Linked DNA regions of Saccharomyces cerevisiae S288C. The protein of the gene in region 2 interacts with the protein of the main gene of each other region in a biochemical or structural test. Each region holds a gene or a part of one and is shown on either strand. Other genes may lie near its edges.

What was found.
Region 1: the proteins of NSP1 (region 2) and NTF2 form a complex in vitro, tested with the Saccharomyces cerevisiae proteins (2 studies listed by BioGRID).

The regions. Positions count from the first base shown.
Region 1 is NC_001137.3:170,362-174,643, reverse strand, and holds NTF2 (Ran GTPase-binding protein NTF2), read right to left. Parts: upstream 2,530-4,282; coding exon 2,152-2,529; downstream 1-2,151. Other genes in the region: YER010C (bifunctional 4-hydroxy-4-methyl-2-oxoglutarate aldolase/oxaloacetate decarboxylase), read left to right, coding at 1,306-2,010; GTP-Rho binding exocyst subunit SEC3, read left to right, coding at 2,826-4,282. UniProt on the Saccharomyces cerevisiae protein: Facilitates protein transport into the nucleus. Interacts with various nucleoporins and with Ran-GDP. Could be part of a multicomponent system of cytosolic factors that assemble at the pore complex during nuclear import.
Region 2 is NC_001142.9:362,353-370,737, forward strand, and holds NSP1 (FG-nucleoporin NSP1), read left to right. Parts: upstream 1-3,431; coding exon 3,432-3,432; intron 3,433-3,550; coding exon 3,551-6,021; downstream 6,022-8,385. Other genes in the region: MHP1 (Mhp1p), read left to right, coding at 1-3,093; NUP192 (Nup192p), read right to left, coding at 6,396-8,385.

The sequences.
Region 1 (4,282 bases), on a different chromosome or scaffold from region 2:
GGAAACGGTTCACTTTTGCGCTGCAGGCTGTCGGCTGGGCCTTACTATTTATGGAAATCATTTATCGTTCTGTTTACACCCTTTAAGAAGATGGAGTAAAGTGTTGAGCGTGTTAGCTGATAATGACCGTTTCATAGCATTCAAAAACCGTTGCTGTGTAAAAAAAGTCTATTTCCATTGTGGATTGATAATTTTAAGAGACAAGCAGTTCCCATTTTTGTTCTTGCAGCAGATATTTTTAGTCTTCTCTCGAATAACAATAGAGAAAAGGCGGGTATGCTCAGATAGCACATAAATTATAAACAATGCAAGGCCATAAACTTGTAGATTGTCTTTTGTATCTTTTGACGTGATCAAAAGTAATAATAGCAGTGCTTATTTGAATTAAGAGTAAAACATAGTAATACTGGAAATAAGCCGGGATATTTGTAGATATGTATATGCGCAAGAAGGTGCCTATAGAACTGGCAAATGTAGGGAATGAGAAAATCTCTTGACACTTTTTGTACGCAATTTACTTGGCACATGAAGGCACAATTAAAAGCTACTCGCCCTTGTAAATTTGACTAAAAGATTTTCGTAGTCTATGTCTCCAGTTTGAATTGAACAACACCACGCAGTCTAGTAATGTTGAAGGCACCCTTTATGTGCAAATAAAGAAAACTTAGCCGCATAAGGTATCATTGCTGTAACTCCATGACTGTTATCCCCCGAAGAACTTTGTAATAACAATTGTAAGTTTTTAGGAAAGGTTCACTGTCGAGAATGACACTTTGGGTTAAGCATTTTAACAAATATTTTCGCTAGACACTGTGTGATGAAGCTATTTCTGAATAATTTTATATTTTGCCTTGAAATTTAATCATGAAATTATATCTGTAAAGGAAAATTAGGGAATGAAATACAAACAATACGAACATAATCCGTAAAAGTATAAATAATCCAAATACAAACTATACATGTGTATACAAGCTCATTTATAGAAATAAAAAGCAGTCGATAAGGAGCAGATAATCTGAGATCTTGCCCACCGCGTTTGGAGAATACCATCAGCTTACCCAAATAATCAGGAAAACTGCAAGCCCAGCTATTTTGCCAATAATAATTTCCGCCACTTAGGTCTGTATGTGAGTCAAACGTTGCTCATTCATTAATCTCTATGATGTATTACAGCTGGAAGTGATAAGAACGATAAAAAAAAGTGATCACCTTACTTAGCGCGAAAAAACTTGAACTGTATGGCTTTCCATAAACTAAACCAACTTTTAAAAAAATTAACAGTATAAGTAGAAACCGCCGTCCGCAATGTCAGATCTTCAAAAGTTACAGAGGTTCTCAACCTGTGATATTTCGGACGGATTGTTGAATGTTTATAACATTCCAACGGGTGGTTATTTCCCTAATCTAACAGCAATTTCTCCACCGCAAAATAGCTCCATAGTAGGCACTGCATACACAGTACTGTTTGCACCCATTGATGATCCAAGACCTGCCGTGAACTATATAGACTCTGTCCCTCCCAACTCAATACTCGTCCTCGCACTGGAGCCCCATTTGCAAAGTCAGTTCCACCCATTTATTAAAATTACGCAAGCGATGTACGGGGGGCTGATGAGTACCAGAGCACAATATTTGAAATCGAATGGGACAGTAGTCTTTGGACGCATAAGAGATGTGGATGAACACCGGACTTTAAACCATCCCGTTTTTGCTTACGGTGTTGGATCTTGCGCTCCAAAGGCTGTCGTTAAAGCCGTAGGCACTAACGTACAGTTGAAAATCTTAACGAGTGATGGCGTAACCCAAACAATATGTCCTGGTGATTATATTGCAGGTGACAATAATGGAATAGTACGCATTCCTGTTCAAGAGACTGACATTTCAAAATTAGTTACCTATATCGAAAAGTCAATTGAAGTGGATTTACTTGTCTCTGAAGATATTAAGAATGGTATTCCCGCCAAACAAGCTCAAAATGATCGAAGATCAGTATTAAAGAAATACATTTAAAAACGCTATCTTCATACATATATATATATATATATCTTCTTTATCGCTATCGCCTTATACATCGTTAGCTAAGCATCTTCAATTATGCTAAACAATATTCGAAAATGAAAATACATGTTTCTGTGGTGACTTAAAAAATCCTTAAGCAGAGTAATTCAAACGGAAGATATCGTTAAACACGTAGTAAGAGTTTCCATCAGGAATCAAATGGAACACTTGAGAGAAACGCTGTGGATTTTGTTCTTCGTCAATCAACAGATCACCAGTGATCATGACTAAGACATCGCCATTTGGGGAAGCAGGTTGCGCATCCAAAGTAGTGATACGATGTTGGACCTTTTGAAATGGCAAAGATACTAATTTCTCAACAATGTCCTTTGCACCTTGCAATTGACTAGTCTCGAATGTTAGCATAGATTCATTTCTGTACAAGTTACCCAATTGGCTTCTATCGGTATCAAATTGATTATAGTAAAACTGGGTGAAGTTTTGGGCCAAAGTGTTAAAGTCGAGAGACATTATAAAGATAATAGTATTAAAACCTGGGTTCCTTAGGGGGTATTGTACACTAAAAACTAAAAAGTACTTACTTATCAGCCTAAGTCTCACCTTGCCAAGTCAGAAAATTTTTCGTTGCTTTTTGAGAACCACGCTTGTGGGACTATGTCACCCGGTATTAATGGGCAAATACTAACTTGGTGAACACTTATAGCAATAACAGTATCATAGCTTATGAAGAAAAAGCGGTCATAAAGACTGAGTCGGTGCCAGATATCTCCAGCTAGGTAACAAGGCTACGCAATTTATTCTATATTATGAGGTCCTCGAAGTCTCCTTTTAAAAGGAAGTCTCACAGTCGTGAGACATCACACGATGAAAACACATCGTTTTTCCACAAGAGAACAATATCCGGTAGCAGTGCTCACCATTCTAGAAACGTCAGTCAAGGTGCAGTACCCTCTTCCGCACCACCTGTTTCTGGTGGAAATTATTCGCATAAGAGAAACGTGTCGAGAGCTTCAAATTCCTCTCAAACTTCGAATTTTTTAGCCGAACAATATGAAAGGGATAGGAAAGCCATAATTAATTGCTGCTTTTCCAGACCCGACCATAAGACAGGTGAACCGCCGAATAATTATATTACACATGTCCGGATTATAGAAGATTCAAAATTCCCTAGTTCAAGACCTCCTCCAGATTCAAAATTGGAGAACAAAAAGAAAAGACTCCTTATTTTGAGTGCCAAGCCCAACAATGCCAAGCTAATACAAATTCATAAAGCAAGAGAAAACTCAGACGGCTCTTTTCAAATTGGTAGAACTTGGCAGTTGACCGAACTAGTAAGAGTAGAGAAGGACCTGGAGATATCTGAAGGCTTCATTCTTACCATGAGTAAAAAATACTACTGGGAAACGAATTCTGCGAAGGAAAGAACTGTTTTCATTAAATCTCTAATTACTCTATACATTCAAACATTCGAAGGTCATGTCCCTGAATTGGTCAATTGGGATTTATCCCTTTTTTATCTTGACGAGAGGAGTTATCAAAGAGCAGTCATCACAAATCGCCCCGGTTCCGTATCTCCAATAAAGTCACCTACAAGTAATTTCACGACAAACACTACCCAATCGGTGGGCTCTGTCCCCTTTTCAGCACCTACTGAGAGGACAAGAAGGTCTGAAACAGAAAGCGTTAATCCAGTGTCAACGCCTGCAAGCGTGGAATATCATGCAGGAATGAAATCTCTAAATAAGGCCCCCTATTCTTCCAATTCGACATTGAATGAAGTGAATAAAAGATACGAGTTAGAGCAACAACAGCAACAAGAAGAGGCTGAACTGAGACGATTAGAAGAGCAAAAAAGACTTCAGTTACAAAAGGAAAATGAGATGAAAAGATTAGAAGAGGAAAGAAGAATAAAGCAGGAGGAGAGGAAAAGGCAAATGGAATTGGAACACCAACGACAACTCGAAGAAGAGGAACGAAAACGTCAAATGGAACTGGAGGCTAAAAAGCAAATGGAGTTGAAACGTCAACGGCAATTCGAAGAAGAGCAACGCCTAAAAAAAGAGAGAGAACTATTGGAAATACAGAGAAAACAAAGAGAACAAGAAACAGCTGAGAGATTAAAAAAAGAAGAGCAAGAAGCGCTTGCTAAAAAGGAGGAGGAAGAAAAAAGTAAAAGAAACAAAGTAGACAATGAAAGTTATACTCAAGAAATAAATGGTAAGGTTGATAACCTTTTGGAGGACTTAAACGCAGTTTTGGCGGA
Region 2 (8,385 bases):
TCCTCGTCAGCGCAGAATAATAATCAGACACCTTCTTCTCATAAATTCGGCGCCTTTTTAAGGAAAGTTACCTCTTATGGGAACAACAACAACAACAGCACCAATGCCTCCTCCCTTTCTGCAAACGTCAATAATCCAGACACCTCATCGACGTCCCTATGGTCTTCTAGTTCAATGGAGTTCGACCCTTCAAAGATAACCACCGTCCCCGGCCTCGAGAATATACGGCCCTTGAAACACGTCTCCTTTGCTACGAACACCTATTTCAACGATCCTCCACAACAAATATGCAGTAAAAACCCTCGTAAAGGTGAAGTGGAAGTGAAGCCTAATGGATCTGTTGTCATTCATAGGTTGACTCCGCAAGAACGCAAAAAAATCATGGAATCGACTAGTTTGGGTGTTGTCGTTGGGGGGACCGGGCAATTAAAACTATTAAATCCCGAGGAAGACGACGCAAATGCCAAGAGTAAAGAGGAGATGGCCCCTCAAAAGCAGAACGAAGTGGAGGCACACGACGAGGAGGATAACAATTCTCAAAGGAGAAACATCGTTATGGCCGCTGCAGAAGCTGCTGCAGAGGCCAGAGCCAAAGAGGCACCTAACGAATTGAAACGTATCGTGACCAACAATGAAGAAGAAGTCACTGTCAGTAAGACCGCCAGCCATTTGACCATCGATAAGCCAATGATTTCAAGAAGGGGTGCTTCCACATCCTCTTTGGCCTCCATGGTGTCCAGTGATACCAACGGTACGAACGCAGATGATGAAGGAGAAATTCTTCCCCCACCTTCTTTGAAGATACCTCACGACATTGTGTATACCCGTTGTTGTCACTTGCGAGAAATTCTGCCCATACCAGCCACATTGAAGCAATTGAAAAAGGGCTCGACGGACCCTATCCCCATCTTACAGTTACGTAACCCAAGACCTTCTATGGTGGAAATTTGGTCGTTCAGCGATTTCTTGAGCATTGCTCCCGTTTTATGTCTTTCGTTGGACGGTGTACAATTAACCGTGCAAATGCTTAGAATAATTTTGAGTTCGCTGGTTTACAAACAGCATTTCCAAAAACTTTCTCTAAGAAACACCCCCTTGGATGAAGAAGGATGGAAAGTTCTGTGTTATTTTGTCTCCAAGGCCAAGTCTCTGCACTCTATTGATTTGACAATGGTCCCTTCCATCAAGACAAATGTACAAAAGCCTTCTAAATCTTCTTTGAAGTCAAAAATTCTGAGAATGCAATGCAACTTGGAAAATAGATCCGACATGAACTGGGACCTTTTGACAGCTTCTATTGCCCTCATGGGCGGTTTGGAGGAAATTGTCATTTCCGGGGCCAAGATGAATTCTGCACAATTCAAAAACTTCATCCTCGTTGCTTGTATAGCAACCGAGAGATTGGGCCTCGCGTATAATGGATTATCTAAGAGCCAATGTGATGATTTGGCCAAGTGGATGGTTCAATCAAAAGTGACAGGTCTAGACGTTGGTTTTAACGATTTGAATGGCAAACTTTCCTCTTTCACCGATGCTGTTTTAGGCAAAATACAAAAAGCTAACGAGAAAAACGTCTTCAAATTTTTATCTCTAAATGGGACAAATTTGAGAGTGAACGAACACGACACTTTTGAGAATAACGAGGTCTTAAAACTGATAAGCGTTTTATGTTATTTGGAAAATTTAAAATTCTTGGATATATCGAACAATCCTGCCATCTTCCCCCACTGTGTTCCGACGCTGATTGATTTTTTACCTGTTTTTGTTAATCTTGTCCGTCTGCATATCGACTACAATAATTTAAGTTCCACGAGTGTAGTGATGCTGGCCGAAATATTACCCATGTGTTCAAGATTGAATTATTTTTCCATGTTAGGAACGGAATTGGATTTGGCATCGTCTAAAGCTCTAGCAGAGGCGGTGAGGAAAAGTTCATCTTTGATGACTTTGGACGTGGACTATGTGTATATGCCAGAGAACATTAAGGAAAAAATTTCATTATATGCTTTAAGAAATATTCAAGGGGAGTTGAAAAGGGTTAATAGTGACGATAAAGATATCAAAGATAGCCAATTTTCAAGCCTACAGGACCAACTATCACTTTTATTAACTGAAAAAGCGGATAATTCCGAACATTACAACAAAATGGTTGAGAATTTCATGGCCAAAATCGCGTTGGCACGTATCAAGATTAGTAAAGTGGTTCATGATCTTTTTGATTTAAAACTGAATGGACAATTAAATTTGGAAGGTAAGGAAGCTTTGATTAGATTATGCTTCATAGAGGCAAGTTTGGAAAGAGGCTGTGACCTGCTGAAACAAAGACATAACAACACTTTGAAATCACCAGAGGCCGTCTCAAAAAGTCGGAAAGGGGGAAATCAAGCACAACCCAATTCCGAAAGCTGTCAAAGAATGTTACTAAGCTCATCTATATTACAAAATTCAGATCATATTGCGCTTATGCCATTCGGTAGTGCAATAGTCGAAAAGTCAAGCCCAGATGCAGAAGATGCCGTCGAATTCAGAGAAGGTGACGACTCCAACGTAAATCACGAAGACGTACCAGCAAATGATCAACAATTTCGAGATGAAGTTGATATCAAAAACAAATACTCTATCATTAAAAGAGAACTAGAACACGAAAAGCTTGTCGGTGGTGGCGATTTGCCAGTGGACAAAGAAATCTTAAATCGTGCCGCACAATCCTTAGATAGTGACCAGATAAAGGAATTTCTGTTGAAGAATGACGTCTCTACTATCCTTGGCGTCATTGATGAACTGCATAGCCAAGGGTACCACTTGCATCATATTTTCAAAAAACAGGGAAACCAAGAAGAGACCGCGTTCAGAACAAAGGATGAACAACAGTCCTCCCAATCCAATGATTCAAGTGCTAATGCGTCCCCTACCACTGATCCGATATCCACAGGCTCCAATACTTCTAGAACGAACGATAATGCTCATATTCCTCCGACCGATGCGCCTGGATTTGATAAATTTATGAACAATGCAGAGGAAAATGCCATTGACGCTGCTTATGATGATGTGCTAGACAAAATCCAGGATGCGCGGAACAGTAGTACTAAATAATAAGGGATTTCTCTTAATTTTTTAATCTCTTTTTTGTATTGGGTTTCGAAAATATAATAAGGAGCCCTCAGACATTTACGTATCCTTTCATGTATGATTATTTTAAGTATTTTGTATTTTTTATTATTATTAATGTAAGCATAATGCTTTTGTAGAACTTGAGACAACCCGGACGGGTCCGATGAGTTTTTTTCTTCAAACTTTTATAGAAAATAATAAATGGTGTTAGCACCACTCAGATGTGATATTTGACGTGTCGATTGTGATACCTGAAGACGCTATTGGAGAGCCATTGCAACGCACAGTCCAACAGTAATAAGCTCTGATCGTTTTGAAAAAGTATGTTTCTTTCCATTGGACGGTTGTCTTCCGATCAAAATTTTATCTCCTATACAATTTCTTCCTATTTACTAACGAAAACCTGCGAACCTGTAAACTACATGATTTTTAATATTAGTGAACTTCAATACACCTCAACAAAACAAAACGCCCTTTTCGTTCGGGACTGCCAACAATAACTCTAACACCACCAATCAGAATTCCTCTACTGGTGCGGGCGCCTTCGGAACAGGTCAATCAACATTTGGTTTCAACAATTCTGCGCCAAATAACACGAACAATGCAAACTCTTCAATCACACCTGCATTTGGTAGCAATAACACTGGTAATACTGCATTCGGTAACAGTAACCCCACAAGTAACGTTTTTGGCAGCAACAATTCTACGACTAATACATTTGGTAGTAATAGTGCAGGGACATCCCTTTTTGGATCTTCCAGTGCTCAACAAACGAAGAGCAATGGAACTGCTGGAGGAAATACATTTGGTTCTTCATCCTTATTCAATAACAGTACTAATAGCAATACGACAAAACCTGCGTTCGGCGGTTTGAATTTTGGCGGCGGCAATAACACAACTCCTAGCTCGACCGGTAATGCTAACACAAGTAATAACTTATTTGGCGCTACCGCAAATGCGAATAAGCCAGCCTTTTCCTTTGGTGCAACCACTAACGACGATAAAAAAACAGAACCAGACAAGCCTGCTTTCTCCTTTAATTCAAGTGTCGGTAATAAGACAGACGCTCAAGCTCCCACTACAGGATTTTCCTTTGGTTCACAACTAGGTGGAAACAAAACGGTTAACGAGGCTGCAAAGCCTTCCCTTTCATTTGGTTCAGGATCAGCTGGTGCTAACCCAGCTGGAGCTTCGCAACCCGAACCTACAACTAATGAACCAGCAAAACCAGCCCTCTCTTTTGGTACTGCAACATCCGACAATAAGACAACTAACACAACCCCAAGTTTTTCGTTTGGTGCTAAATCGGATGAAAATAAAGCTGGTGCTACTTCTAAGCCTGCCTTCTCATTCGGTGCTAAGCCAGAAGAAAAGAAGGATGATAATTCCTCAAAACCAGCTTTCTCATTTGGTGCCAAATCAAATGAAGACAAGCAAGATGGAACGGCTAAGCCAGCATTTTCCTTTGGTGCCAAGCCCGCGGAGAAGAATAACAATGAAACCTCCAAGCCGGCATTCTCTTTTGGAGCAAAGTCTGATGAGAAAAAGGATGGTGATGCCTCTAAACCTGCCTTCTCTTTTGGCGCTAAACCGGATGAAAATAAAGCTAGTGCTACTTCTAAGCCTGCCTTCTCATTCGGCGCTAAGCCAGAAGAAAAGAAGGATGATAATTCCTCAAAACCAGCTTTCTCATTTGGTGCCAAATCAAATGAAGACAAGCAAGATGGAACGGCTAAGCCAGCATTTTCCTTTGGTGCCAAGCCCGCGGAAAAGAATAACAATGAAACTTCCAAGCCGGCATTCTCTTTTGGAGCAAAGTCCGATGAGAAAAAGGATGGCGATGCCTCTAAACCTGCCTTCTCATTTGGTGCTAAATCGGATGAAAAAAAGGACAGTGATTCTTCGAAGCCTGCCTTCTCATTTGGTACTAAATCGAATGAAAAAAAGGACAGTGGTTCTTCGAAGCCTGCCTTCTCATTCGGTGCTAAACCCGATGAAAAGAAGAATGATGAAGTCTCCAAGCCTGCCTTCTCATTCGGAGCAAAGGCTAACGAAAAGAAAGAAAGTGATGAATCAAAATCAGCCTTTTCATTTGGTTCTAAGCCTACAGGAAAGGAGGAAGGCGATGGGGCGAAGGCTGCCATTTCCTTTGGTGCTAAACCCGAAGAACAGAAATCCAGTGATACGAGCAAGCCAGCGTTTACTTTTGGTGCTCAAAAAGATAATGAGAAGAAAACAGAGGAATCTTCTACGGGGAAGTCAACCGCAGATGTCAAATCAAGTGATAGCTTGAAATTAAATTCTAAACCAGTAGAATTGAAGCCAGTTTCTCTCGACAATAAAACACTGGACGATTTAGTAACGAAATGGACTAACCAACTAACAGAATCGGCCTCTCATTTTGAACAGTATACCAAAAAAATTAATAGTTGGGATCAGGTACTAGTGAAAGGAGGTGAACAAATTAGTCAGTTATACTCAGATGCTGTGATGGCGGAACATAGTCAAAACAAAATAGATCAATCTCTACAATATATCGAGAGGCAACAGGATGAATTAGAAAACTTCTTAGACAATTTTGAAACCAAGACAGAGGCACTTCTGTCCGATGTTGTGTCTACAAGTTCAGGTGCTGCGGCCAACAATAATGACCAAAAAAGACAACAGGCCTATAAGACAGCCCAGACTTTGGACGAAAATTTAAACTCGTTGTCATCCAATCTTTCTTCTCTAATAGTAGAAATCAACAATGTTAGTAATACATTCAACAAAACCACTAACATCGATATAAACAATGAAGACGAAAATATTCAACTAATCAAAATCTTGAATTCACATTTCGACGCTTTAAGGTCACTAGACGATAACTCCACCTCTCTGGAAAAACAAATCAACTCGATAAAGAAATGATCTAAAAGAAAAAATTCCCTCTATTCTACACTTATTTGACATAGGATGTGCTATATTAAATAATTATATATAGGTATCAAAATGTACGCGATGGTTCAGAACCTGCAATTAATTTAACACCTCAATCATACTTGTTTTTTTCCTTTTTCAAGAAGTTTTTGTAATGTGTCGTGCCGATCTGTAAACGACCTGGATTTTTATTTCATTAGACAGTAAATACGCACCAAATCAGAACCAAAGAAAGGCTTCTGTAGTGTATGAAACTAAAAGCCACTTTTTGTGATAGTTTCTTCTTAGTACTTAGTACACAACCAAATATTTTGCAAAATGAAATCGATTCCTAAAAGTAATTCTTAAAAGTGATAATGAATGACTTAATCGTTATTTTGATATCCTGTTAATGTGCATAACATCACAATTAGCTTCACCATTTCGTTTAAACTTTGGTTATTAGGATCCGACGAATTTTTCTTATCTTCTTTTTCCCTCAAAAGATCTCTTTTGAATATTCCGATCACTAGCCTCTTATACGTATTCAGTAAACCCTTTACCGTTTGAACAACAGCTTTGTTTGAGCTCCCCATGCTCACTAAAACAGCTGATATCAATTGGAATATAGGAACGATTAACTCAAACAAGGAAACACCATTAGCATCTTTGTCAACTAGTAGCGGATTATCCAAGGTGACGTTAACCTTTAAGAATTTGGAATTCTGAACGTAGACTTCGTCAAACATAAGGTCTAGACCCAAATCAGGATCAACTTTTAAAAATGACAATTCCGCGATTATTCGGAATAGATTATTTTCAATTAAAGCGCTAGCTCCACCTCTAGTTTCGGCAACACGTATTAAAAAGAATACAGTGGCTTTAAAAGCTGTCAATTCATATAACAAATCATCAATGTTTATGTGCTCTGTAGTAGAATTTAACAAAGCATCTGTATTTTTCAGCGAACGTATTATTAAGAGCAGTCTTGTAGTTTTCATCAGTGAATCCAATATAAAATTCTCTTTACTTCTATTAGCCAGTTGAATAAGTGAATCCAATAGTAATATACCTGTAACCCTACTAGTTCCCTCGCCATAAACAACATCGTTCCATATGATCTCTACCAATTTTTTACTTCCTAGTCTCAAATCCTGCAGAACCTTTTCGGACCCTACTTGGTCGCTTAGAACTCTACTCAAATAATGGTTTGCTAATATATAGAAATCGGACCTTAATGCCACAGAGGAGAGTGGGGAGTTTATACCCTGAATACATGTCTTGAACAACTGATATAGCCTGCCGTCTACCGTGCCTTTGTCGGTAATCAACTTACGATCGCGGTTATATATATCAAATAGGAAAACGGCGAGAGAAACCAATTCTTCTGAAAAAGTTATATTAAACTCAATATAATCACTAATCTTCGGAATAATTGTACCAAAAACCTCCAGAATAAAGTTTGATCTTGTTGATGGTTCCAATTTTCCATCAGTAACAATGATTTGCACCAACTGTACCCAAGAGTGCAGCACAGATAGGTTCAACTCCAATGCTTTGTTTCTTGATATAATATTCGTGAAATGGCTTTTTGCTTTTATACACTCGACATCTGCATCCTTCAAAAATTGTTCTTTTGACACAGTGAGACTGAAGGAATTAGAATGTAAGCTTTCAGCACGGACTCTTTTAATCAGGCGCATAAGGTTTTCCATTTTGTGAAAGTCATAGATATTGCCGGAGCAATACTTGTTAAGAGTGACTTGTTCCAAATTTAAAGGAACATTGGTGAAAATTGATAACGTCTCTTTTGGTTCGCAGATATTGCCATAGTTTAATGGATCCAAGAAAGAAAACAACCTTACCGAATACATTGTATTTGATATCAAGTAATTCACATATGTTAAAACCTCTGATTTCGTGCCCGAAAATGAAATTTTATGAATGAACAGACCCAAATATTGTGTCCAATAATTCCTGTAGGCTAAGAATGACAGAAATGCACCAACGGATTCGCTCTCGATGAAGTTCTTACATTTTTCCTCTGTAGAATTGTCAAAAGGAGAGCCGTTCCATGTCGTGAACCTTGTCACTTGTGGATCGAGGATCATTATTCTCTCAAAAAAGTTTTCTTTGATTAGGTATGAATATAGTAGACCAGATGTTAACGGATTACGACATAGTTTGAGAATAATTTCCAGTGCTGCTGTAGCCAATCTCATAGGTGCATAATCGATATTGTCCTTAGTAATGCTGTTCAATGAAGCTTCCAACACGCTTATGAGGGAATCAAGTAATGAGGTTCCGGAAGATATAAATGTTGCTAGGTTAGGTCCCAGGGATATAACGTTTGAGACCTGGAAACCTAATAACAGA